Linked DNA regions of Rhinolophus ferrumequinum. The protein of the gene in region 3 purifies or fractionates together with the protein of the main gene of each other region. This does not show direct contact. Links are inferred from orthologs where the notes say so. Each region holds a gene or a part of one and is shown on either strand. Other genes may lie near its edges.

Evidence for each region. Proteins that work in one complex are often made in the same cells at the same time.
Region 1: the proteins of KRAS (region 3) and YWHAE purify together in Homo sapiens (affinity purification with mass spectrometry; 4 studies listed by BioGRID and IntAct, with this or other methods). This does not show direct contact. The link is inferred for Rhinolophus ferrumequinum from reciprocal best matches to the Homo sapiens genes KRAS and YWHAE.
Region 2: the proteins of KRAS (region 3) and RPL18 purify together in Homo sapiens (affinity purification with mass spectrometry; 3 studies listed by BioGRID and IntAct, with this or other methods). This does not show direct contact. The link is inferred for Rhinolophus ferrumequinum from reciprocal best matches to the Homo sapiens genes KRAS and RPL18.

Annotation. Positions count from the first base shown.
Region 1 is NC_046304.1:16,474,240-16,481,424, forward strand, and holds the start of YWHAE (14-3-3 protein epsilon), read left to right. Parts: upstream 1-4,176; 5' UTR 4,177-4,300; coding exon 4,301-4,364; intron 4,365-7,185. UniProt on the Homo sapiens protein: Adapter protein implicated in the regulation of a large spectrum of both general and specialized signaling pathways. Binds to a large number of partners, usually by recognition of a phosphoserine or phosphothreonine motif.
Region 2 is NC_046298.1:44,113,986-44,121,481, reverse strand, and holds the start of RPL18 (60S ribosomal protein L18), read left to right. Parts: upstream 1-4,487; 5' UTR 4,488-4,613; coding exon 4,614-4,616; intron 4,617-5,849; coding exon 5,850-5,936; intron 5,937-6,292; coding exon 6,293-6,400; intron 6,401-6,871; coding exon 6,872-6,970; intron 6,971-7,496. Other genes in the region: SPHK2 (sphingosine kinase 2), read right to left, coding at 1-142, 3,055-3,089.
Region 3 is NC_046293.1:36,538,631-36,546,471, reverse strand, and holds the start of KRAS (GTPase KRas), read left to right. Parts: upstream 1-4,824; 5' UTR 4,825-4,956; intron 4,957-7,841. UniProt on the Homo sapiens protein: Ras proteins bind GDP/GTP and possess intrinsic GTPase activity. Plays an important role in the regulation of cell proliferation.

The DNA.
Region 1 (7,185 bases), on a different chromosome or scaffold from region 3:
TTATTGGGGGAGATCTGTTCCTCGAAGGTTAACTGGCTGTAGGCAAAGGGAAGAAACTGTTAGAAGTCAGGTGTGTTGGTAAAGGAGTCAGAGTACTGAAGGCTCTACCCAACAAACATTCTGAATCCAGGGATTTCATAGTTCTCCACAGTACCATTCCTCCCGGCTCACTTGCCATTTATTCAAAGGATTCTGGAGGCCAAATGGGATGGGATTCTTTAGGTTATCAACCAAGAGTCTTTAGGTCTTCTCTTAGCCAAGGCATCCAGTGAAAACGTAATTTATTTTTCAGAGTCCTCTGGAGGATTAAAAAGTTTCCTTCGCATCATGTTGCCATGCTCCCTGCTCTTGGTCCTCTTTTCCATGTACTCATTCTTCAAGCATTTTCTCATCTCCCGATCAAGATCATTGCAATGACCAAAAAATTTCAGAATGCTGTGCCGACTTGATGTCACACCGAGAGGGCTGAAGCAGTATTTACCAGCGAAGATTCTTCACACGAAGGTCGACTGCCTGGGCGCCAGGGTCGAGCCACCTCCGGGTGGCAAAAGCTCCTGCACCCTCTACAGCTGACCCTGCTCCTGTGAGGGGATTTTTTAAAATTTATTTTTTATTTTACTTTCAAGCCGAGGTTGGTTAAGTTCGTGCATCCAAAACCTGGATATGGAGGGCTGACTATATTTGTTAAATTTCCAGATTCCCTGGAAATTTCTTCTGTTATTCATTTCTAGTTTCATTCCATTGTAATAGAAAAAGATACTTTGTATGACTTCAGTCTTTTAACATTTATTGAGATTTGTTTTATGGCGTAATATATACGGTCTCCAGTTCCTTAACTTTACTGATGAACATGAACCTCAGAGGTGAAATGACTTGTGGAAGGTACAAGCAAATAAATGGGTACTTATTTAGTTATAGAATTAGAATTAAGATTGATTCTCAGTCTTTTACCATTGAAATTTGATGTTTGTTTAAAGTGTGCAGGGGCTTAATTTGGAATGCAATAAGGAGCCACCCAGTCTCCTTTGTTGGCTCGTTTGCTTTCACTTATCTCTTTTATTTTTATTTTTTTAAATTTTTATTGGGGAATATTGTGTTTCTCCAGAGCCCATCAGCTCCAAGTCGTTGTCCTTCAATCTTAGTTGCAGGGGGCGCAGCCCACCATCCCATGTGGGAATTGAACCAGCAACCTTGTTGTTGAAAGCTTGCACTCTGAGACATCTGGCCGCCCCTCCGGAAGCTCAGCAGCAGCTCGTTGTCTTCAATCTAGTTGTGGACGATGCAGCTCACTGGCCCACGTGGGAATCGAACTGGCAACCCTGTTGTTCAGAGCTCGCGCTCTAACCAACTGAACCATCCGGCTGCCCTTCACTTATCTCTTAAAAGTAGGTATTCTCCAAGGTTTTGTGCTTGGTTCTCTTCTACCTCCATACACTCTCTACCTGCTTCCATGGTAGCTTCCCTTCAGTTTGGAATGCCTGTCCCCTTTTCCACTTCCATGCTGGTTACTTCTACCAGGTGATCTTTGAGAATCTTAGAACCAACATATGCTAAAAGGAACTGTGACTTCTCTTTATTCTATCAGCACATTTTTCTAGCATTCCTTTTTTGTTGTTGTTAATGGGACTACCACTCATTATTCCAGTGACTCAGGGTGGGAGAATGAAAAGTCAGTTTTATTTGTTTTTCCTCTCACAAGATCTCCACATCTGATCAGCTACAAACTCTTATGATTTCTCTTTGTAGTACTATTCCTATTTGTTCTTCCCTTCCTATTTTCTCTGCTACCATCTCTTACCTTCTGCCTGGATTAGTGTAATAGCCTAAAAATCTATCCTCTTCTTTAGTCACTACTCTACCATACTTAGTAATCCTTCTAATATATATGATGTTAGATAAACGATGTTGGTGTCATCCTCCATGCAAGTCATCAAAAAATAGCTTCCTTGTGCCCCCTGAATAAAGTGCAAACGTCTTAGCTTGCCATTCAAGGCTCATCATAATTTGGTTCCAACCTCCTTTTAATTCCACATTTATTGCAGACCCTATCACACAGCTTATGTCCTAGTTACCTGAGCTTACAACAGTTATTGTATTGAGTACAAGCTGCTGGAATCCATTGGGAAGCAAAACAGACCAGGTCCTTTCTCATTCCTGCCTCCTCAATCTCAATTTGATCTTGGTCCCACTCTTCTGCACCTTGCACTCCAGATTAAGTTCCTCTATTAACCTCCCCGTTCCTATCCATGGTGGGCCTAAGGGGAAGAAGAAGGCTAAAGCGCAGGGGAAGAAAAAGATTGCCAAGTGATAGGGTAAAGTTGGTGTGAAAACTGGAGTATTTCTTTCCCTACCAACTGTAACTCTTTACGCCGGAGTTAAAAGGATCTGGAAAAGGTCCAGGACTGAGCTTGTCTGAGAAAACAGGGACAATGTAGGAGAGAGGTTGGTTTCAGTGAGGTAAGCCTGCCATTAAAAAACTGTTACATGGGTTCAAAGAGGATTTTATGAATTTGACTTCAAAGGCAAGGGAAGTAAAATCTGAAATAAATGAATTGGGACCATATCAGACTAAAAAGTATATGCACAGCAAAAGAAACCGACAAAATAAAGAGACAACCAATCGAATGGGAGAAGATTTTTGCAAACAATGCTTCCAATAAGGGGTTAATATCCAAAATATATAAAGAACTCATACAACTCAACACCAAAAAAATAAACAATCTAATTAAAAAATAGGCAGAGAACCTGAATAAACATTTTTCCAAAGAGGACATACAAATGGCCAATAGACATATGAAAAAATGCTCAACATCAGTAATCATCAGAGAAACGCAAATAAAAACCACAATGAGATATCGTCTCACACCAGTTAGAATGGCCATCATCAACAAGACAGATAATAACAAGTATTGGAGAGGCTGTGGAGAAGAAGGAACCCTCATATACTGTTGGCGGGAATGCAGACTGGTGCAGCCATTATGGAAGGCACTGTGGAGGCTCCTCAAAAAATTAAGAATACCGTGTTTCCCTGAAAATAAGACCTAGCCAGACCATCAGCTCTAATGCATCTTTTGGAGCAAAAATTAATATAAGACCCGGTATTATATTATATACAATATAATATATTATATTATATACAATTACTATATTATATTATAGTAAAATAAGACTGGGTCTTATATTAATTTTTGCTCCAAAAGATGCATTTAGAGCTGAGGTTCCAGCTAGGTCTTATTTTCGGGGAAACACGGTAGAATTACCATATGACCCAGCAATCCCTCTCCTGGGTATCTACCCCAAAAATCTGAAAACATTTGTCCATAAAGATATATGTGCTCCGTTGTTCACTGCAGCTTTATGTACGGTGGCCAAGACATGGAAACAACCAAAGTGTCTTTCGATAGATGATTGGATAAGGAAGATGTGGTATATATACACAATGGAATACTATTCTGCCATAAAATGAAATAGTGCCACTTGCGACAACATGGATGGATCTTGAGATTATGCTAAGCGAAATAAGTCAGACAGCAAAAGTCGAGAACAATATTCCATTGATATGTGATATATAAAAGTGAAAACAGCAAAGGAACAAGACAAACAAATGAAGAAACAAAAACTCATAGACACAGACAATAGTTTAGTGGTTACCAAAGCGTAAAGGGGGATTGGTAGATGAGGGTAAAAGGGATCAAATATATGGTGATGGAAAGAGAACTGACTCTGTGTAGTGAACACACAATGTGATATATAGGTGATGTATTACAGAATTGTGCACCTGAAACGTATGTAACTTTACTAACAATTATCACCCCAACAAATTTTAATTAAAAAATAAATTAAAAGAATGAAAAAAACAAACCATTACAGACTCTAGTTTTCTCTGTCCCAAATCCAGGTGTCGGTTCTCATGGTCCAGGTTCCCTCGCTCACTCTCTTTGGGCGCGGTCCGGTCGTGCCTCGCCTCCAGCATCTCTCGCTGCCTTGGGGCCGCTCTCCCTGCGCTCAGTCGCAGTTCCCGCCTCAGCGATCCCGCACACGCTGAGCCCAAGGAGGAGGGGCATCTAAGCTGGGTCCAGCCCCTTCGGGCGCTGGGCTCTGGGCTCCCGGGCCCGCCCCCCGCGCCAGTTGCCAGGGAGCGGTTGCCATAGAGCTGAGCAGTTGTCCGCGTGCGCAGGCGGAAGTCCCGGATTGAGGCGCCGCCATTTTTGCTGCCCGGACGCGGAGGGAGAGGCTGAGAGAGTCGGAGACGCTATCCGCTTCCATCCGTCGCGCAGACCCTGCCGGAGCCGCTGCCGCTATGGATGATCGGGAGGATCTGGTGTACCAGGCGAAGCTGGCCGAGCAGGCTGAGCGATACGACGGTGAGTTGGGGGGGCAACGGGGGGCTGGAATTCTCGGACCCTCTGCCGCCGCCCACAGAGGCCGGGAGCAGGAGACAAAATGGCGGCACCGTCGCCGATCCTGGCCCGGGGACGTGGATTCGGGAAGCAGGAAATGGCCTGCGGTCTCCCGGAGCGGTGGGAGGCCCCAGGCCCAGGAATTTGACCCCTTCGGTGTCCTTCGCCGCAGACACTTGCGAGCCTAGAGGCCCAGGCGATAGGGTGGAGGAGTTGGTTGTAAAATGGCGGCTAGGGGGAGGGCGAGTCCCGGGGCGGGGGAGGGGGAAGAGATGGCGGGTGCTGTCTCCGGGCGAGCAATCCCCAGGGGAGCTTCTGGCCAGTCTTGGGATGTGGAGAACAATTGGGTGGGGTAGTGGGGGAAGAAACACCCGCCACATGGGGGACAGTGGCGACCAGGGGCTGTAGCGCGGGCGCCTTTCAGGGAAATATGGCGGGTGGGGGCGGTGGCTTTTCCCCGGAGGCCCAATGTGGGGCGGCGGCTGTGGAGTCTCACAAAGGAGAAACCTTAGGAGCGGAGGTCTTCTTGGGGCTTGTGGTCGGAGGCAGTCTTGAATGAGAGTGGGGGAAGGGGAGAGGGTGGGAATCACTGCAGTTCATCCTTGGGCGGAGGCCAGCTGAGATGCTGCGATCAGATTTCTTTCCCGTAGGCCAGCACACCTTGTAGTGAGGGTTTTTTAGGCTTCACATTCAGCCTCGCTTTCTTCTGGGGAAATCGAGCAAAACCTCCCTCACGCTCCCTCCCTTTCCTCAGACTTATCCCGGAGACCTCGAAGTTCCTGTAATTTTTTTTTTTTTGTCTATTAGCTGTGGGTTGTGGTGTATAGAACATTGAACTGGGAACAAGGAGACCATAACTCTTAGTCCCTTTCTAGTGCCTGTCTGTCTCTGTCTCCAAGTTTGTTAAAATGACTTTGCTGTTGACACACACCATTATGACAAATGGAAAAAGACCTGTTGAAAAATAAAGTTATTTCAAATAACGTTTAGTAACTGCATTTTGGTTGAGCGCCCGGGCTTGGAATGCGTGTTCTTACCTCATGGAGGATCTTAACCTATCACAAGCACCCAGCTGAGGCTTGGGGTTTTGGATTATGAACATCGAGGGGCCCAGCAGATCCTATGTATATTTTTTTCCATTTTGAATAAATGGTTTTGTGTACAGATTTGAACAGTTTTTCTTTGTTCACTGATCCTTCGTCCCTGAAGGTTCTTTCGTCATTTTTCTGAACTTTATCAAAATGCCCATTGTGTCTGTTTAGTCCATTCCAGGCGGCTGTTTTTGAGTCGCCCTCCCCACCCCCCATTTTGCACTAGGTACTTGAATGACCTCCACATGCGTTAAAATGTACAGAAAAACAAAAAGTTACATATGGTTTCTGTGGTTCTAATGCAGTTGTGGGATGAGACATTGAAATCAAGTGCCATTGATCTTTAGATTTTTCTTAATTAAGCCACTTACTTTTCAAAATATTATGTAGGGTCCTTGCTTTCCTTGAATGCCTGTTGGTCACGTGCATACCCTCAGGGCTAATCCTAGCGTAGGGTTAGGATTCACGAGTTTGAAATGAGGAAAAAAGGCCTGGAACTGAAATTTTGGAAAGATACTGCACTAAATTTCGTTCTGTAAATCCTAAAATTGCTGTTGGTACTGAACAAGATTCTTGTTGAGAGGGGGAAGGGAATAAGATGGGGAAGTACAGCTCAAGGTCAGATTTGTCTTTATTTCACTGTGTAAAAAAGGCAAGTGTAGGTGTGCTTGTAATGGAACTCTCCATCCCCATGCTGCAGATGGGTTCCCCTCTCCATCTACCCGTGCCCTTGGCAAAAAACTTCATATTTGAATGCTTTCTGTTCTGTAGGGATTTAGGCTCTGAGTAAACTTGCTGTGATAACCAAAAAGAGGACATGGAGGAAGGTTCTAAAAACTGATTTGGAAGCTCATGATTGTAGTTTCCAAATAAATGACTGTTTAGTGATAATCATATAATACTTTGGAGTTGAGTACTGAGGATTTTTGACCAAATGTCTTACTGGGTGTTCAATGTAGGACTCTATAGATAGAGCTTCATCGTTACATTGTACAGTTTTTGGATCTCCAGGATCTAAAGGGAGGAATAGATAGGGTTTACCAGATGGGGAGGAACTCCTGTGACTGTTGGGCACAAGATAGGGAGGGATTCATTGGGAAGGAAGCAGAGGAAGAGAGTCATCGGGAATCAGATTTTTACCTGTGTCCACTCCTTTATTGGGTGCAAAAATTCATTGTTTGTGGTGACAAAAAATTATCCCATAGTTTTGGCCACCAGAAAAATTTTCAAGTGTGGGGAGTGGAGGAGGTGAGAATGCATTTGAATGATTTGATTTTGGGTACGTGGATATAAATAAAATAAAATTTCTCGTTCCTGCAGTACCTTTATCTGTAATTTTGCATGCTGTGTTGAACCAATACTTAACACTTTTTTGTAGCGTCATTTAACTCTATCCTGGGGACTTGGAGTCGATTTATATGGTTTATTTAATGGTACTGGAGGAAAAGCTAAGCTGTGTTCAGAAAAAGGACAATTTTGGGTTGCAGGTAGGAAATACCTGAAGTTTGGGGCTAGGATTGTTCACCTTGAAGGTTAATCTAGCATCCCATCACTTAATGTCAGTCTTAGCATTCCTGAACTAAGTCTTACTGTCTGATTTATATGAACCACATTAGTACAGAAAAGTGGGGAATATAGCAGGGGGAAAAGAGTACTTTTCACATTTTTTGAGAGTAGAGAGGTCTGCATAAACT
Region 2 (7,496 bases), on a different chromosome or scaffold from region 3:
CGGTGGTGGGGCCATGGCTTCACTCCTAGGCCTATGGCCCCAGCTCCAGGTCAGCTCCTGGTCCGGCCTCTGTGGGGAGGAAGGAGGGTAGGAGTCAAAGTCCAGGACCCCCATGGCAGCTGGAGGGAAGCAGGGGCAAGGCCTGTGGAAAGGAGGAGACAATGAGGGGTGGTCACAGGTACACGAAAGACAGACAGGCCCAGACAAGTTGGGGAGACCCTGAGGATGCAAGGAAGAGAGCAGTTGGACAGGAAGGCCAGCATCCTGAAGGCTCCACACCCAGGCATGCAAACATTCATTCATTTTATTCCCCAAATAATTATTTAGTACCCTCTATGTGCCAATCAGTGCCAGGCCCAGCAAACTCAGCAGAGAACAAAGTGGACAAATATCCCTGCTTTCATGGAGTTTATATGCTAATCAGAAAACAAAAAAACAAGATAAAGAAGTACAATATAGTGCTGAATGATAAGGGCTTTGCGGAAAAATAAGGCGACGGAGAGAGATCAGGATGGTAGAGATATAGAAGAAACAGATATGCAAAGACAGAGAAAAACACAACATACATCTCCAGATGGAGAGAAAGTAACAAGGGGGAGAGACTTGGACACAAAGAAAAGGATAAGGTCCAAGAGCCAGAGAAACATTGAGAGGAGGAGACAAACAGCTTCAATGAAATGAAACCGAGGATGATGAAAGATACTCAGAGAGGAGAGTATGCGTTTAGGGGCTTCTGAGGGTCAGAAAGAAAAGGGAGAAAAAGAGCAAATAGGAGAGGCAGGAGATAGGAGATGTAGACATCAGTAAAGACTAAGAAAGGAATGTGACATGGAGGGACTAAGGGGTCAGAGAGCCAGAGGAGTCACATGCAAGCACCTGCAAGGGACAGGGGCCAAGAGCTGGACCCTAAGGACTGACCTGGACATCTGGCTGAAAGCTCTCCAGGGAGAGAGGATGGGAGCCAGGCCTGAGATCCCCTCCCCAAAGGCCCTCCCCCTGCCCTCTGTCCTTCTTCAGCCTCCTCCCTGCTCACCTTTGTTCCGCACTGCCCCGCCCACCGAGCCACCTATCTGTCCTGCCCTACCTTTCCCTGGCCCAGATTTGCCCCAGACACACCCCCCTCCCCCAACCTTGGACTCACCCTTAGGCCCCACCCCTTATCTCAAATCAGGCTTAGGCACAGAGCCCAGATCTTCCCCCAGTCCTGGGCCTGCGTCTCTGTCTCTAGGTCTCCAGGTCTCTGGCCTGCTCTCCATTCTCACCACCCACAAGGTACCCTAGAGCTGGGCCTGTGTCTCCATCCATAGGTCGCCCCCATAAGCCTGAGTCTTTGTCTCCGGTTTCCCCGGTACCAGGTCTCCACTACCCCCCACCCCCATACACGCCCCGATTTCCACAACCCAATCCCAGACCTGAGTTTCCATTCCTGGATCCCTCAGTCCCGGTTCTGGTTCTCCATCTCCATCCCACACCCCTGTTACCCCAGTCCCGGGCCTGCGTCTCTCCGTTCCTCTCGGTCCCAGGGTTCCCCAGACTCGGGACCCTTCCCAGCCCCCGCACCCTCCTCACACGCCGGGTCCTCCTCCAGGCGGCCCCTCAAATCAGCACCAACCACCCCGATCTGACCCTAGGGTGTGGGGGGAGTGTGCATCTGCTGAGCCAATGGCCGCGTGGCTGGCCTGAGCCGCACCAATGAGGGCGCGCGGGGGTCGGGTCCAGCCGACTCGCTAGTTTGGCGCAAGGGCCTGCCTACCGCCAGAGAGCCGAAGAACTGGGCGGGGCATCGCGCTCGCGAGATCAGCTGCCATTGTAGGTGAGGGCACAAGCGCAGCAGAAGGGGCATCACGGCCCAACGGCCAGCTACTGTATCGCCATCTTTGTTGAGGGCAAGGGCCAGTCCCATCCATTGGGTTTATTAAAAAGGGGCATGAAGGCGGTCTTCAGCTGCAGACCCAGAGAAGCAGAGTCAGAGTCAATAAGAGACTCGAAAACAGTATTGTCTCTTTTTCAGATAGAGTGAGAGAGAGAGAGATGCAGAGAAAAGCGAAGATATACACAAACACAGACAGTAGAATTAAGAATGTGCAAGATAAGGACTCGAAAACCCAGAAAACGACGGACACAGACAGAGATAGGAACAGATAATTCTGGAATGAAAACCAGAGAGAAGAAGCTCATTAATTCACAAATTATTAATAAGCCATAGGTATATGATGTACAGCATGGGGACTATAATCAATAATATTGTATTAACTTTGTATGATGACAGATGGTAATTAGACTTGTGATCATTTTGTAATGTATATAAATATCAAATCATTTTGTTGTATACCTGAAATTAATATAATATTGCATGTCAATTTTTTTAAAATGTTAAACTTTTACCTTGGGCCCAAACCAGAGCGGAGGAAACCAGAGCGGAGGTAGCATGACGAAAACATCTGCTTAGGGAATGACTCAGTTACAGAGCAAGACAGAGACACAAGGAGAAAGACCGGAAAGACAGTATCTGAGAGAGACCTCTAGGTCAGGGGTTGGGAGTGGGGGGTAGAGAATACTGGAGGCCCAGAGGCTAAGAGGAACTGAGACCAAGAGACGGAAAGCAAAGATGTTGAGAGGTAATGACATGGTGAAACAGAAAGAAATAAAGGCAAGAATAGTATCAGGAGACCTAGAAGCAGACAGAATTGTAGAAAGAAACTCACATGCTTAAGGAGATAGGGACGAGTTTGCTGGAAAGATAAATGGAGGAAGAAGTTAATTTATTGCCAAACAATGTACCTTGTGTTCAACCCAGAGTAGCAACAGCACCAGATATGTGCCAAAGAAAGACCCAGAGAGAGAGAGAGGGACAGAAACCCAGTAAGAGGAAGAGACAGGCAAACACAGCACCTGAGCTTGGGGCCCTGGGAGAAAGAAAAGCAGGCATACCAATCAAAGAGGCTGGGACTCAGAAATAGAGACCAAGTCACACAGACGAGGGAACAGGGACAAGGAAGAGGAGGAAACTGTGTCCCATGGTACTGTAATCTTGATTTTCAGATGGACCCTTACCTGGTCCCACTGCTCCTGTGTTTCAAGGTATCCATTCATCTGCTGGCCCTCTGCTGTGTTCACATCAGCAAGACCCTGGCCCTGGGTCAGAAGCCATGGGAGGTTGGTATGGGTAAGGAGTTAGGCCTCACAGTTCAGGCCTGGCCTTTGTATCTGTGGAGGAGAGGTGAATAAGTACAAGTGTCAAGAGTAGACTACAGGAGGCCAGGCTGGATACACATGCCCCTTGGAGGCCCAAGGAGGCAGGGGAAGAAGAGAGAAGAGGTCAGCTTTGTCACTGCCCCACCCAGTTCATCTTGTCTCATCCACTAAGGGCCAATAAAGAGGGATAAAGCCTAATTTTACTAAGCACTTATTATGTGCATTGTCCTAAGCATTTTTACTAACTTATATAATGCTGAAAAACACCCTATGTGCCAGGTCTATTGCCATCCCTTCTGTAGCTAAGGGAAGTGAGGCACAGAGGTTAAATGACTTGCCCAAGGTCACATTATTATTAAGTAGCACAGCCAGGATTTGAATTTGGTTACAGATGGCATCGACATCTTTCTATTCTCTGCTCCTCCCTGATCTCCATCTTCCCCCTCTTCCTAGGTCTCCTCACTCCCTGGGTCTCCATTCCCCCTACCCTAGGTCTTGTCCACCCCCGCTCTGGGTCTCCATTCCTCCTCCCCTCTGAATTTCTGTCTCCCTCTCTTTAAGTCTTTCCTCCCCTTTCTTTCAGAGTTTTTACCCATCCCCTCTCTCAACTCCACCTCCCAATCCCGGGACCTCAGCGTGCCTCCTCCTTGCTCCAGTACCGTGCACATCCTTCACAACAAACACGCTGGGCCACTTGAATCTCTCTGCTGGAAAAAGCAGCCCCCAGGTGACAGAGGCTGAGAAGGGGTCAAGAATGGGCCATCTGGGGGCAGAAGGAGAAGCGGAATCTAAAAGGTGGAAATAGACTGCTATAGACTTGGCTGCAGCAAGAAGATTTCAGGTTATAGTAGGACTTCCCGAGCCGCGGCTGCGCCTGGAAAGCGCAGCACGAGATAAGGCAGAGGTCAGCCTAATATAAGGAAATCCCCTAGGCGTGCGGTCAGAGGTTTTCTGGAAGTCCGGGCTAGCCCTGCCTACCCCGCCTCCTCACCTCCAATACTCGGCCCGCCCGGTCCTCCGGAAGCCACAGAGAGGCCGTCGGCTTCGGGCCAGAGCGTCACCACGTGATGACTCGTCCTAACTCCGCGCGACATCTCCCTCACGCCCATATCCCTTCCTTCCGGAAGAGTATCGAGAACAGGGACTGAGTAGGGCCAGAGAGGCCCCCAATGTGCTGGTCCTTCCCTCCTTGACGTAGCCCCTTTTCTTCTTTGGTGGTTCCCCCCGACCCCCGCCTCACCCTATTCCGGAAACGCCCGTCTAGCCGGCCACCTAATTCACCATAGAGAGGGCCGACTCGCGGTAGAGTGGTACGTCGCGCATATGTGACGTCATGTGGGCGCCGCTTGCTGAAGGCTTTCCCCGCCCACAGCGGCTCCGTTCTCTCTTTCCGGACCTGTGGAGCAGGAGGCGCCATCATGGTGAGCGCGCTTTGAGGCGTTCGGAACTCTACTATCCGCCGCCATCCGCCGCGGTCTCGCGCTGGGGGCGCGCCACAGGGAGGCAGGGATTCCGGGGGTGTATGAAGGAGGCGATTCTTGCGGTGGGGGTGCAGTTTAACGGGGCCTGAAGACCAGGGATTGGTCAGTCGTATCTATCTCCAGTTCCTCCCGTGTTCCTCCGTTGTAGCTCCCATTGAATAGATCCTCAAATTGAGGTACGAGGTGGTTAAATGATACGACCAGGAAGAAAATGTCAAGAACTGGCGGAGCCAAGATTCAGACCCAGGCGCTGGTTCCACAGCCACTCTTATCTGTTGCCTTGGATGCCTCTTCCTGGACGTTTCACTCCCCACCCTGAAAAGTTGGGCTCTGGTGGGGAGTTGGCGAGCGTCCAGTGCCCGGGTTTTGGGGCGAGGTAGGCCTCGTGCGAGTGTCGGCTCGCAAAACCATCCTGTGGTTTTGCTTTCCCAACCCATGCCCCACTTTCTCCGTCTGTTCACTGGGGACAGTAATTCTGTCTCACAGATTTGATTTTGGAAAGAATTAAGTTGTAGGAAGTGCTCACCATAGGTTCTTGCAAACATGCAGTATTGGTTAAGTGGGAGCAATTGATAATTAAGTTGTTCTTTACAATTTATAACATAGTCCAAAAAGAAAATCCTCAGGAAAGTAAGCAGGTGGTGTAGTAGAAATGGTGGGCTTTCCAGAGTTTTCTTAGCGCTAAAGTCATAAACTATCTCATAATGTTTTTGGTTTCAGGGAAACCAAATGACAGATCGTTCTAAAATTGGTTCTGTACAGATCAATTTCTAAATAAAGGTTTGATATTACTTGGCATTTGCCCTTGTTTTTGATTCCCTCCATGTGTGGGAGCAAGTATTGGGAACTTAAATACTTAATTGTTGAAAAATACAATTTCTGGAGTTAAAATTTTTTCTTGAAATGAATGTGGCTACTGTGTTAAAGCTTTCACGGTGCTATGTGTTGTGTGCTGCAGGATTTATATTAGAGTTAGCCCCTTTTTGCAGAGCAGTCATTCGAGGCCCAGAGTATTTACGTGATTTCTAGAGCTCTCCCAGTGGTGAGCTTGGGATTTGTCTTTTTAGAGACCGGAGCTTCATCTAATATCTCCGAAAGAAGTAATAATTGAGAACAGTTATGGGTGAGGAATCTGACAGCAGACTTAACCATGGTTTTGCCTTCACCCGGCAGGGAGTCGACATCCGCCACAACAAAGACAGAAAGGTTCGGCGCAAGGAGCCCAAGAGCCAGGACATCTACCTAAGGCTGTTGGTCAAGGTGAGGTTGGGGACTGAGATGGCTGGGTAGGACCACCCTAGACTGCAACTTTCAGGGCCTCCATCCTAGCGTTGGTCACTGGCTCCTCGCAGGGGCTTGCAGGACAGGCTCTCATCTCTGATTCTGCCCCAGAGCATCTGGAAGTTCAGTGTTTTCAGCCCCTGGTCTGTGTACAGCGAGGGGGTGGGGAGGGAATTTTCTGGGTCCCTGACAAGGAAGAACCTGGGCCAGCTCTCTCCCTGGAGCTCAGTGGGAGACAGACAAAATCATATGTTTGCCCATTCCTTAGAAAGTTGGGGGGGAGGGGGAAGTAGGAGGCCCCAGGTTCTCATTCCTCCTGTTCCTTTCATATCCAGCTATATAGGTTTCTGGCCAGACGAACCAACTCCACCTTCAACCAGGTGGTATTGAAGAGATTGTTCATGAGTCGCACCAACCGGCCACCGTTGTCCCTTTCTCGGATGGTGAGGGGCTCTTGGGGGGAGCATAGCCAACCTGGGGGTGACTGGGTCACATGGAGCTGGGCTCTGGGAGGAAGGGTGGGCTTGGAGCTCTGACCCTCAGATTGTAGCTTAATAGCCCACTGGTTATTCAACTGGCTTGGCCTCTTGGTCTTGTTCTTTTTCTTTGTGAGGTGGGGGTGGTTACAATGGCTTTATGAGTTTTTCCTGAGGCTTCAAGTCATACAACAAGATCTTACGTGTCAAGATCCCTCTATAGGAGAGGTCTGTTGAAAAATCTGTGCTTGCATTTTCTCTGGAGATTTTACTGGGCTGAACCTGTGGTTAGGCCAGTGCTAGTTTGAGAGACATGGCGTGGATGGGTTTAGCTCCATCAGGGCACAACTGTTGGTCTTTGGGATGCTTGAAGCAGTGGAGTTGGATTTAAACACCAGAAAGGAGTCCTTAATGTGCATTTCTCCTCTTCCCCCAAAGATCCGTAAGATGAAGCTTCCTGGTCGGGAGGGCAAAACTGCTGTGGTTGTAGGCACTATAACCGATGATGTGCGTATCCAGGAGGTCCCCAAACTGAAGGTGAGTGGCGAGGGGCTCTGCACAGTGGGTATGTCGAAAGCATGGGCTCAGGGTGGAGTCCTGCAGACGTGGCTCATCCTCGTCTGCTGTGGGGCCCTCAGGCTCGTGCTGTATCCTCAGTCTCACCTCTGGGTGAGGCAGGCATCACACCTACCAGGTGGCTTTGGGGACTGAAGGGGACTTATCATTGGCATCATTGATGGTGGTGTCCCTGAGCAAGCCCCTCTGGAGCCCTGTTGACAGTGCTGGCTCTTGAACTTGCCTGCAGCCTGGGTTCAAATCTAAATTTCTCTGCTACTTTTTTCTCACCTCTGGACAAAGTCCTGGATCTCTTTTACGTCTCAGTTTCTTTACATGTAATAGCTGTAGCTTCTAAAAGTGGTAAAAACAGTTGATGTCAGCTCTGGAAGCTTCTTTTAATAGTTGGTGGTATTGGTTATTGGGCTGAGCAAGTAGCTGGGCTTCTCTGCTGGGCCAGGGCAGTGGACAGTAAGTCCCAGCAGCTCGTGGATGGCTATGCAGGGGG
Region 3 (7,841 bases):
CTAAAGGAAGTAGGACTTGTTCTAGATCTTGAAAGAGAATTTTAAGCAAAGAGAGAGGCAAAAAGATGTTGGGTGAAAAAGGAGCAAAGACACAATATCCTAGTTTTGTGGCATAGAGAAGGGATTTGCTTGAGGAGAAGAGAGCATCAGCTTTGGAAAGGTGGAAGTCACAGGGCAGGAGGGTGCCAGAGAGTGGATGCTCTCCAAAGCTAGGCACCAAGAATTTGGCCATGATTCAGTTGGATATAAAGAGTTATTAAAGATTTGTAAGCAAGATTCACTCTTGGTGAAGGCTTAACTGGGACCGGTGATCATTCCTCACTCTAATTTCTAGAGTAATTATCATCGTCTTTAGGTACTAATTAGACACTTAGCTTGTAACTCTTTGCACTTTTAAAATATATAATCTGTTTGAGTGCAGTCTCAGACTCATATGGAGTAGGAAAAGAGGAAATGTTTGATGATGATGAAAGACATGTGTAAGGAAGATTAATTTGGCAGCAGCATATGGCCTGAATTGAAAAGAAGAAAGACAGGAGGTAGGAAAGTCATGAGGAAGCTGTTCCAGAAATGTAGGTGTGAAGGAAAGAATGTAGAAGAGGCAGATAGGAGAAATTGCTTAGGAATTTAATTAAAGGGAGCTGTAACAAATTGGAGTGCAGAGTGGGTTGAAAATTCAATTTTTGAATATAAAGTTTTAAAGGACCATGATGCCACTCAGACAAGATGGAAAACTTTGGAGAGGGTATTAGTTTGGGGGAATTAGAAGAGGAATTTCGTTTTGAACAGGCATTTAAGATAATGACAAGATATTCATTTAGACATGGTCTAGGAAATTGGCTAGATGAGAATGAAGTGGCTATGTGGAGACAGGGTTGAAGCTTTGTTGTGATTTTATTCACTTCAACAAATATTTGTAGAGGCTAATAGCTATGGGATACAAATTGGGCAGGGACTCTGAGGAATCAACAACCTGCTGGAGAAAACAGATATACAAGAAAGGAATACAAAGTCTAATGAAATAAGTGTCCAGAGGAGATTATGTGCTAGGTAAGCAAATTAGATAGCACCTATTCAGTGGTACTGTGTTTCCCCGAAAATAAGACCTAGCCATACCATCAGCTCTAATGCATCTTTTGGAACAGAAATTAATATAAGACCCGATCTTATTTTAATATAGTATAAGACCTGGTCTTATATTATACTATATTATATACGACCGAGTCTTATATAATATAGTATAAGACCGGGTCTTACATTAATTTTTGCTCCAAAAGACACATTAGAGCTGATGGTCCAGCTAGATCTCATTTTAGGGGAAACCCAGTACAAATTTTCTACCCGAGAAAACTGACATATAGTCCATGAAAGCATCCAAAGGTGGCTTGTCCTGCTTAACTTTCCCTGACTGTGTCCTGCTACTCTGGCCACCAATGTCTGGACCCAGGATTGGCACCCAAGCAAAGTCAATGATCTCTAAACCAGGCATAAAGAAGACTAGCCACCAATCAGGTGGCCCATCAGGAAAACTGTATTCCATAAAGGCCTTTCTTATTGAACAGTGAATGACAGATTGCATTCAGATCCTCTTTCTTGGGATGTTTTAAATGTAAGTCACAGGAAGTGGCCTCTAGAAGCAGAGACAGCAGTAGAAGCTGAGAGTGATATGAGAAAGAAGCAGAAAGATATGATTCAGGAGAATGGCAAAATTACTAGAATATGGTCAATAGCTGCCTGTCAGTGAGGGGATGAGCAAGGTACCCAAGACTGTCGCTGGATCACAAGAACTGCAGTTAATTCTTAGAATGAGCAGTAGTTCTGTTATGACTTTCTGAAGTTTCCTTATTTCCTTAACATAATCCCTCAGCATTTGCAGTGCTCTGAACATGTCCTGCCTTTTTATATCTGGTAAGAGCCCAACTAACACAAGGATATTTTTGTTGTCTTGCTTTAATTATACCTTCAGAAGAAGGTATCTCATGAAGAAAAGGGTCAGCATGATCTTCATAAAGCAAGATCAAGAGGATACATGCATGTGCACATGTGTATGTGGCTGCCTCCCCAGAATACAATAGTATAAGGCAGAAAATTCAGAGCAAGCCTGGCATCTCCAGGTTTACACTTTTGTTATTCCTCTCTCTCTTTTCCCATCATGATTACAGTATGGGCCTGTGTCTTTGTCCTTGGGGAGAGCAAAGAAAGGGAGAGTCAGGGAGACTATTCATTGCAGCCACCAGGCTTGAGGAGCAACCCCCAAAAATAGTAGAAAGTGCATTCTCCAAGAGAAGAGAAGAATTTGAGTATCTAGATCAGAGTTTCTCAATGTACAGACTGCTAACCACCAATTTAGGATCACCTGATTTGTTACAAATGAAAATTTCTGGTTCAACTGAACCTTAGACCAACTGAATGGGATATCTGGGTGAGAGGCCTAGGAACTTGCATTTTTAAAGTATGCCAGGTGTTTCATGAAGCAGTTAACCTTTGAGACCCACTGCTCTAAGCTCTGGGTAAAGGACAGAAAGAGTGTTGGGGAGGGGGTTGCTGGCTTCTGTGAAAGCACCCAGGACTGAATGGTGGAAAGGCTTGACAGAGCATATGTTTACACATTGCTGTAGGAGTGAAAGGAAGGAGAGATGAAGTATGTGAGGTGAAGCTGGAGTGTAGGGTCCACGGAACCGATAGTGGGGTGTAGATTTGCTTTGGGGATCATGAGCCTAGATGATAACTGAGAGCATGTGGATGGATTAGGTTTCTACTAATGCCAGAATTTTTATAATCACCATAAAAGTGCAATATACAGCTTTTCCCTCCTCTATATTAGTCCTTTTAAGATTTATGGAGCACCAACTACAGGGAGAACGTTGTATTAGCAGCTGTCAGAGAAAACAAGAGTTTATTGTGTACTTGAAGTTGGACAAAAATAAATCTGTGATTCATATTTAAGAGTGACTACAAAGCAACATCCAAAGAAGTGCAAATGCACTCATTTAACAAAAACTCATTGTGTCCATTATGCGCAGATTCTTTCCTGGACTTCATAGGGTGTGTCTTATCAGAAGGTGACTTGGGTGAGTTTAAAGGCAGATTTTGGTGCAAACAGATTACAGAGAGAGTAAAACACTTAAGAGTCAGAGTTCAGAAGGAGTATACATAACTTCAATTCATTCAACATTCCACAAATATTTATTGAGTGCCTATTGTGTTGTAGGCACTGGAAATATATCAGTAAGTAAAACAGACAAAAATCCTTGCCCTCAGGGATCTTGTATTCTGGTGGGAGAGAGACAAGAAAACAAATGAGTTATGCACTACCTTAGAAAGTGGTAAGTGCTCTAGGGGAAAAATAAAGCTGGAAGAGAGATAGGATTTGGGGGGAAGGATGGAGAGATGCTGTATCATAGATGATCTTTTATGGGGAAAAAAACTCATTAGAAGACATCTGAAGAAAGATTTATAAGTAGCAGTCAGAGGAAGTGTTGTGGATTTATAGTGGACGTGTGTTCCACGGTGTTCCACTTCCTCTCTTGTACCTGCTACCAATTGCTACAACAGGGCCAGGGCAACAGGAACAAATCCTGCAGATTACAGCCCACATATGGGGCAGGAAGAAAGGGTGACAGTTGGTGAAAGGCCTAGGTTAACAGATACAATAGTTGGGATTTAAAATAATTGTTGTATTCGTGTGGACAATTTACCTTTCTAGGTAGCGTATCCACGCAGACTCTGGCTATACTAGATTTAATTCTCATTGTTTGATGTGTTCACTCTCTGAATGTTAACTGGTTAATCTCAATCTTCTAATTAATGTTTGAATGATTTTCCTCAGGTCTAAACTATCAAGGGCATTTGTACTTATTAACTTGGGTTCTGCTGGTGCCATCAGGGGCAATGAATACATTTGAGGTCCCTGTTCAGAGTCACCTGTGACCGTTTCAAAATATCCATTAGAAACAACCACCCAAAACAACAGACCCCTTCCCACATAAGATTAAAGACGAAAGGGTCTGTCAGGTTTGTTTGGGCCTGGGGCTAGGTTCCCCCCCCTCGACCGTCGAGGCTGGTAATAATCAACCTTGATCCGGAAGCCCCAGGGTGGAGCACTGCCTGCCACGTCTCCCCCTCCCACATTTGGTGACTGCATGTTTATTTACATGGAATAAATTATAGTAAATGAAAGTCACAACTGTAGGCCGACCCCGAGGGGTGGCGGGATTTTCGCAGCTTCTCTGTGTAGAACCGAGAGGGGTGCGGCAAAGTCGCTTATGGTTGTCTCTCCGGGGGGGGGGGGTGTGTGCGTGTGTGCGTGTGTGTGTGTGTGTGTGTGTGTGTGTGTGTGTGTGCGCGTGTGTGTGTGTGTGGCCCACCGAGGGTCCGTCCGGTTCCGAATCTGCGGCTGCGGGTTCCGCTCCGCTGCTAGAACCGAGGGGCGGGCGGCCGCTTGGGTCCAGCAATGGCCCCCGCCGAGGCGCCGCCCAGACCCTCCAGCTCCACCTGTCCGGCTCCCTCTCCCTCCGCCACTCTAGCCACGGCTTTCTTCAGTCGGCCCTCGCTCCTCCTCCGCTGGCCTGTCCCCCTCCCCCGGAAAGGCCCGGCCCCCTCCTCCACCCCGGCGGCGCTCGTCGGCCCTCTCTTCCCTCTTCCCTTACCGCCCTCCGCCGCTCCCTCCCCGCACACCCGTCTGGAGAGGAATCGAGCACCGAGCGCGTCGATAGCTCTGCCCTCTGCGGCCGCCCGGCCCCGAACTCATCGGTGTGCTCGGAGCTCGATTTCCCTAGGCGGCGGCCGCGGCAGCGGAGGCACAGCGGCGGCGGTAGCGGCGGCGGTGGCGGCGGTGGCGGCTACTCGGCCAGTACTCTCGGCCCCCGCCATTTCGGACGGGGAGCGAGCGCGGTGCAGGCACTGAAGGCGGCGGCGGGGGCCAGAGGCTTGGCGGCTCCCAGGTGCGGGAGAGAGGTACGGAGCAGACCACCCCTCTTGGGCCCCTGCCCTGGTCCCGACCCTTCTCGCCCGCGCCGGGCGGGGCCGGCGGCGAGTGAATGAATTAGGGGTCCCGGGAGGGGCGGGAAGGGGGCGCGGGCGTGGAGCCGGGGAGAGCGAGCTGGCGGACGCTGTGGGGGTGGTCTGCAGCGAGAGGCGTGGGGACACGGCGACGCGGGCAATGGGGAATAGGCGGTGCGGGGCTGAGGAGGGTGAGGCTAGAGGCGGCCGCCGCTTGTGCTGCTTCCTGGACGGGGAACCCCTTCCTTCCTCCTCCCCTAGAGCTGCGACTGGAGGCGGCCGGGGAGAAACTCGCCGGCCGGGCGGGCTGCCCCTCCGGGCGGTCGGGTGCGGTGGAGGTTACTCCCGTTGCGCTCCAGTCTCCCTTCCCCCTTGTCTCTCTCTTTCTTTTTCTTTTTCTCCCCCCCCACCTCCCTCTCTCCCTTCGCTCCCGCACCTCTTCCTCCCTTTCCAGCACTCGGCTTGCCTCGGCTGCTGCCTTCCCTGCTGCATCTAGCATCTCTAGGACCAAGGAATAAACTTCTCCCTCGAGCGCAGACGGGACGGATAGTGGTCCTTTTCAGTGTGTAGGGGGATAAATGAGTAAGGGGGGAGGTCACGTTTTGGAAGAGTATAGGCAGGTGCTTCGGGACCACTGTTTGAGGTTATTGTGTTTGGGGGAAAAAATGCATCTGCAGCCGAGTTACTGACTGCTCCCCTCCCCCATGTATGGGCTGTGACATTGCTGTGGCCACAAAGGAGGAGGTGGAGGTAGAGATGGAAGAACAGGTGGCCAACACCCTACAACATAAAGCCTGTGACTTAGTGAAAAGAAAAAAGTGAATCCCAGGAGGTCTCCTTTGCTTTGTCAAGTTCAAACACACGCAGAAAACCCGCAGAGCAGAAGCAGGGGCTTTTCTCTTGCTAGTTGAGTAGGCTTTTCTCTTGCTTTTTGAGTGTAGACAGTAATAGCCAAAATCATACTTGAAGTTTAATTTGCTTGTTCTTGTCCTTTCTTTTTCCAGGGTAATCTCTTCTGTATGACCCTGATCCTAACAAATTTGACATCCATCCCAAGAGTTATTACAGTTCTCTTAAACAGCACTCACACAATTTCTTGTCACTTATTTACAAGAGGAGTTAATTGTAGCAATCTGCCAGCCAACTGCTTGAAATAGCTAGCTGGCTTTCTTAAATCTTGATATCTATGAAAACCAGAGGCTAAGGTATTTTATAATTTTAAGGTATTTTATGATTATAAAGGTATTTTATAATTTTTTACACAGTATACATGTTGCATTTGTAATGGAAAATCATTTACAAAGAAATTACAAAGGCAAAAATATCTGTTCATAAATCATCAGAATCAACCGTATGAGTGATGTCACTCTTACGTGACTAATGTCCAAAATGCTGACTTGATCATGTAACAGACTATAGACATCAAATATGGTATCAGAACTGCTTGCTTAAAGATGGTAGATGAGATGATGATTCAGTTCTATGACAAATAAAAGTGAATTTGTTTTTCCTTACCTAAACGTTGGGTTGTAGCTTTTGTAGTTTTGGGTGAGGAAGCTCCTTCTGGCATTTCATCTTCAGTGAGACTACCTGGGAACCCAGTTGTCTGTAGTGGACTTAAATGTTACTTGATTTTTAAAATTCAATTCAAGGATTTTTTTCAGAAACTACCACTGGATAACACATAGACCAGATGGTGTGTCTGCCTCAGAGTTCACACATGTATATACAACTAAGCTCTAATCCAATATCTGTCCACAGGATCTCCTAGGCTAGCAAACTTTTTGGTTTGTAAGGACCCCTTTACACTCTTAAAAATTACTGAAGATCCCAATATGGGGTATGTCAATATTTACTATCATAGAAATGAAAACTGAGAAGTTTAAACATTAATTCATTTAAAATAGAAATAATTAGCCCATTACTTGGTAACACAAATAGCATTTTTTTATGAAAAATAACTTTTTCAAAATAAAAACCAAAAGTAGTTAGAAGAGTGGTATTGTTTCAGACTTTTGCAAATCTCCTTAATTATATGGATTAGTAGAAGGCATCTGGATTCCTATCTCTGCTTCTGTATTCAGTGTACTGTGATCACACATCTGGAAGACTATAAACTTGTGCAAGAGCAAGAGTGGAAATGGTAATTAGCATTGTAGTATTATTTTGATAAAAATTTTGACTTTGACACCGCTTCCCTCCCCACCCCCCCCCCCCACAAAAGCCGTAGGAACCATAATGGACCACATTTTGAGAACTACTGTTCTAGGTTGTCCAAATTGTTTGGCAGAGTGTGGTGGGCATGGAGCCAGAGGATACATTTTGGTGTGAGTCTCCTTATCTGTCCCATTTGTTATGGCCTATATTTGGAATAAAAAGTGGGAGCAAACAGAATAAGATACATATTTGTAGTGGTTCCCAAGGTATCCCCAGACAAGAGCAAGTAAGGCTAGGTGGCACAGAAGAGGCCGGGGAGCTGTAATATAACAAACAGTGTGTGATACAACAGTTGTCTAGTCTGTCTGCTCTTTGTGAGAAGGCTTAGGAATAGGGTGAGGGGGTGGGTTAGTATGTTATCATTTGGAAAACCATATTAGCTTTTTCTTTTTTTTTTTGGTGCCTATTTGAATAATCTTGGTCTTCAGTAAATAGGGTGCTGCATGTATATATTGTTTATATCTGCACATTCATTAATTTGGGACTACTTATGATAACTTATTGTGCATTTACTGCCATTCTGCATTTATATCTGCAGCCTTATTTGTACTAATATCCTGTAGTTCTTGAGGGAAAGGAGATAAAATTAAAGAAATGCATTTTATTTCAAAAAATTTGAAACA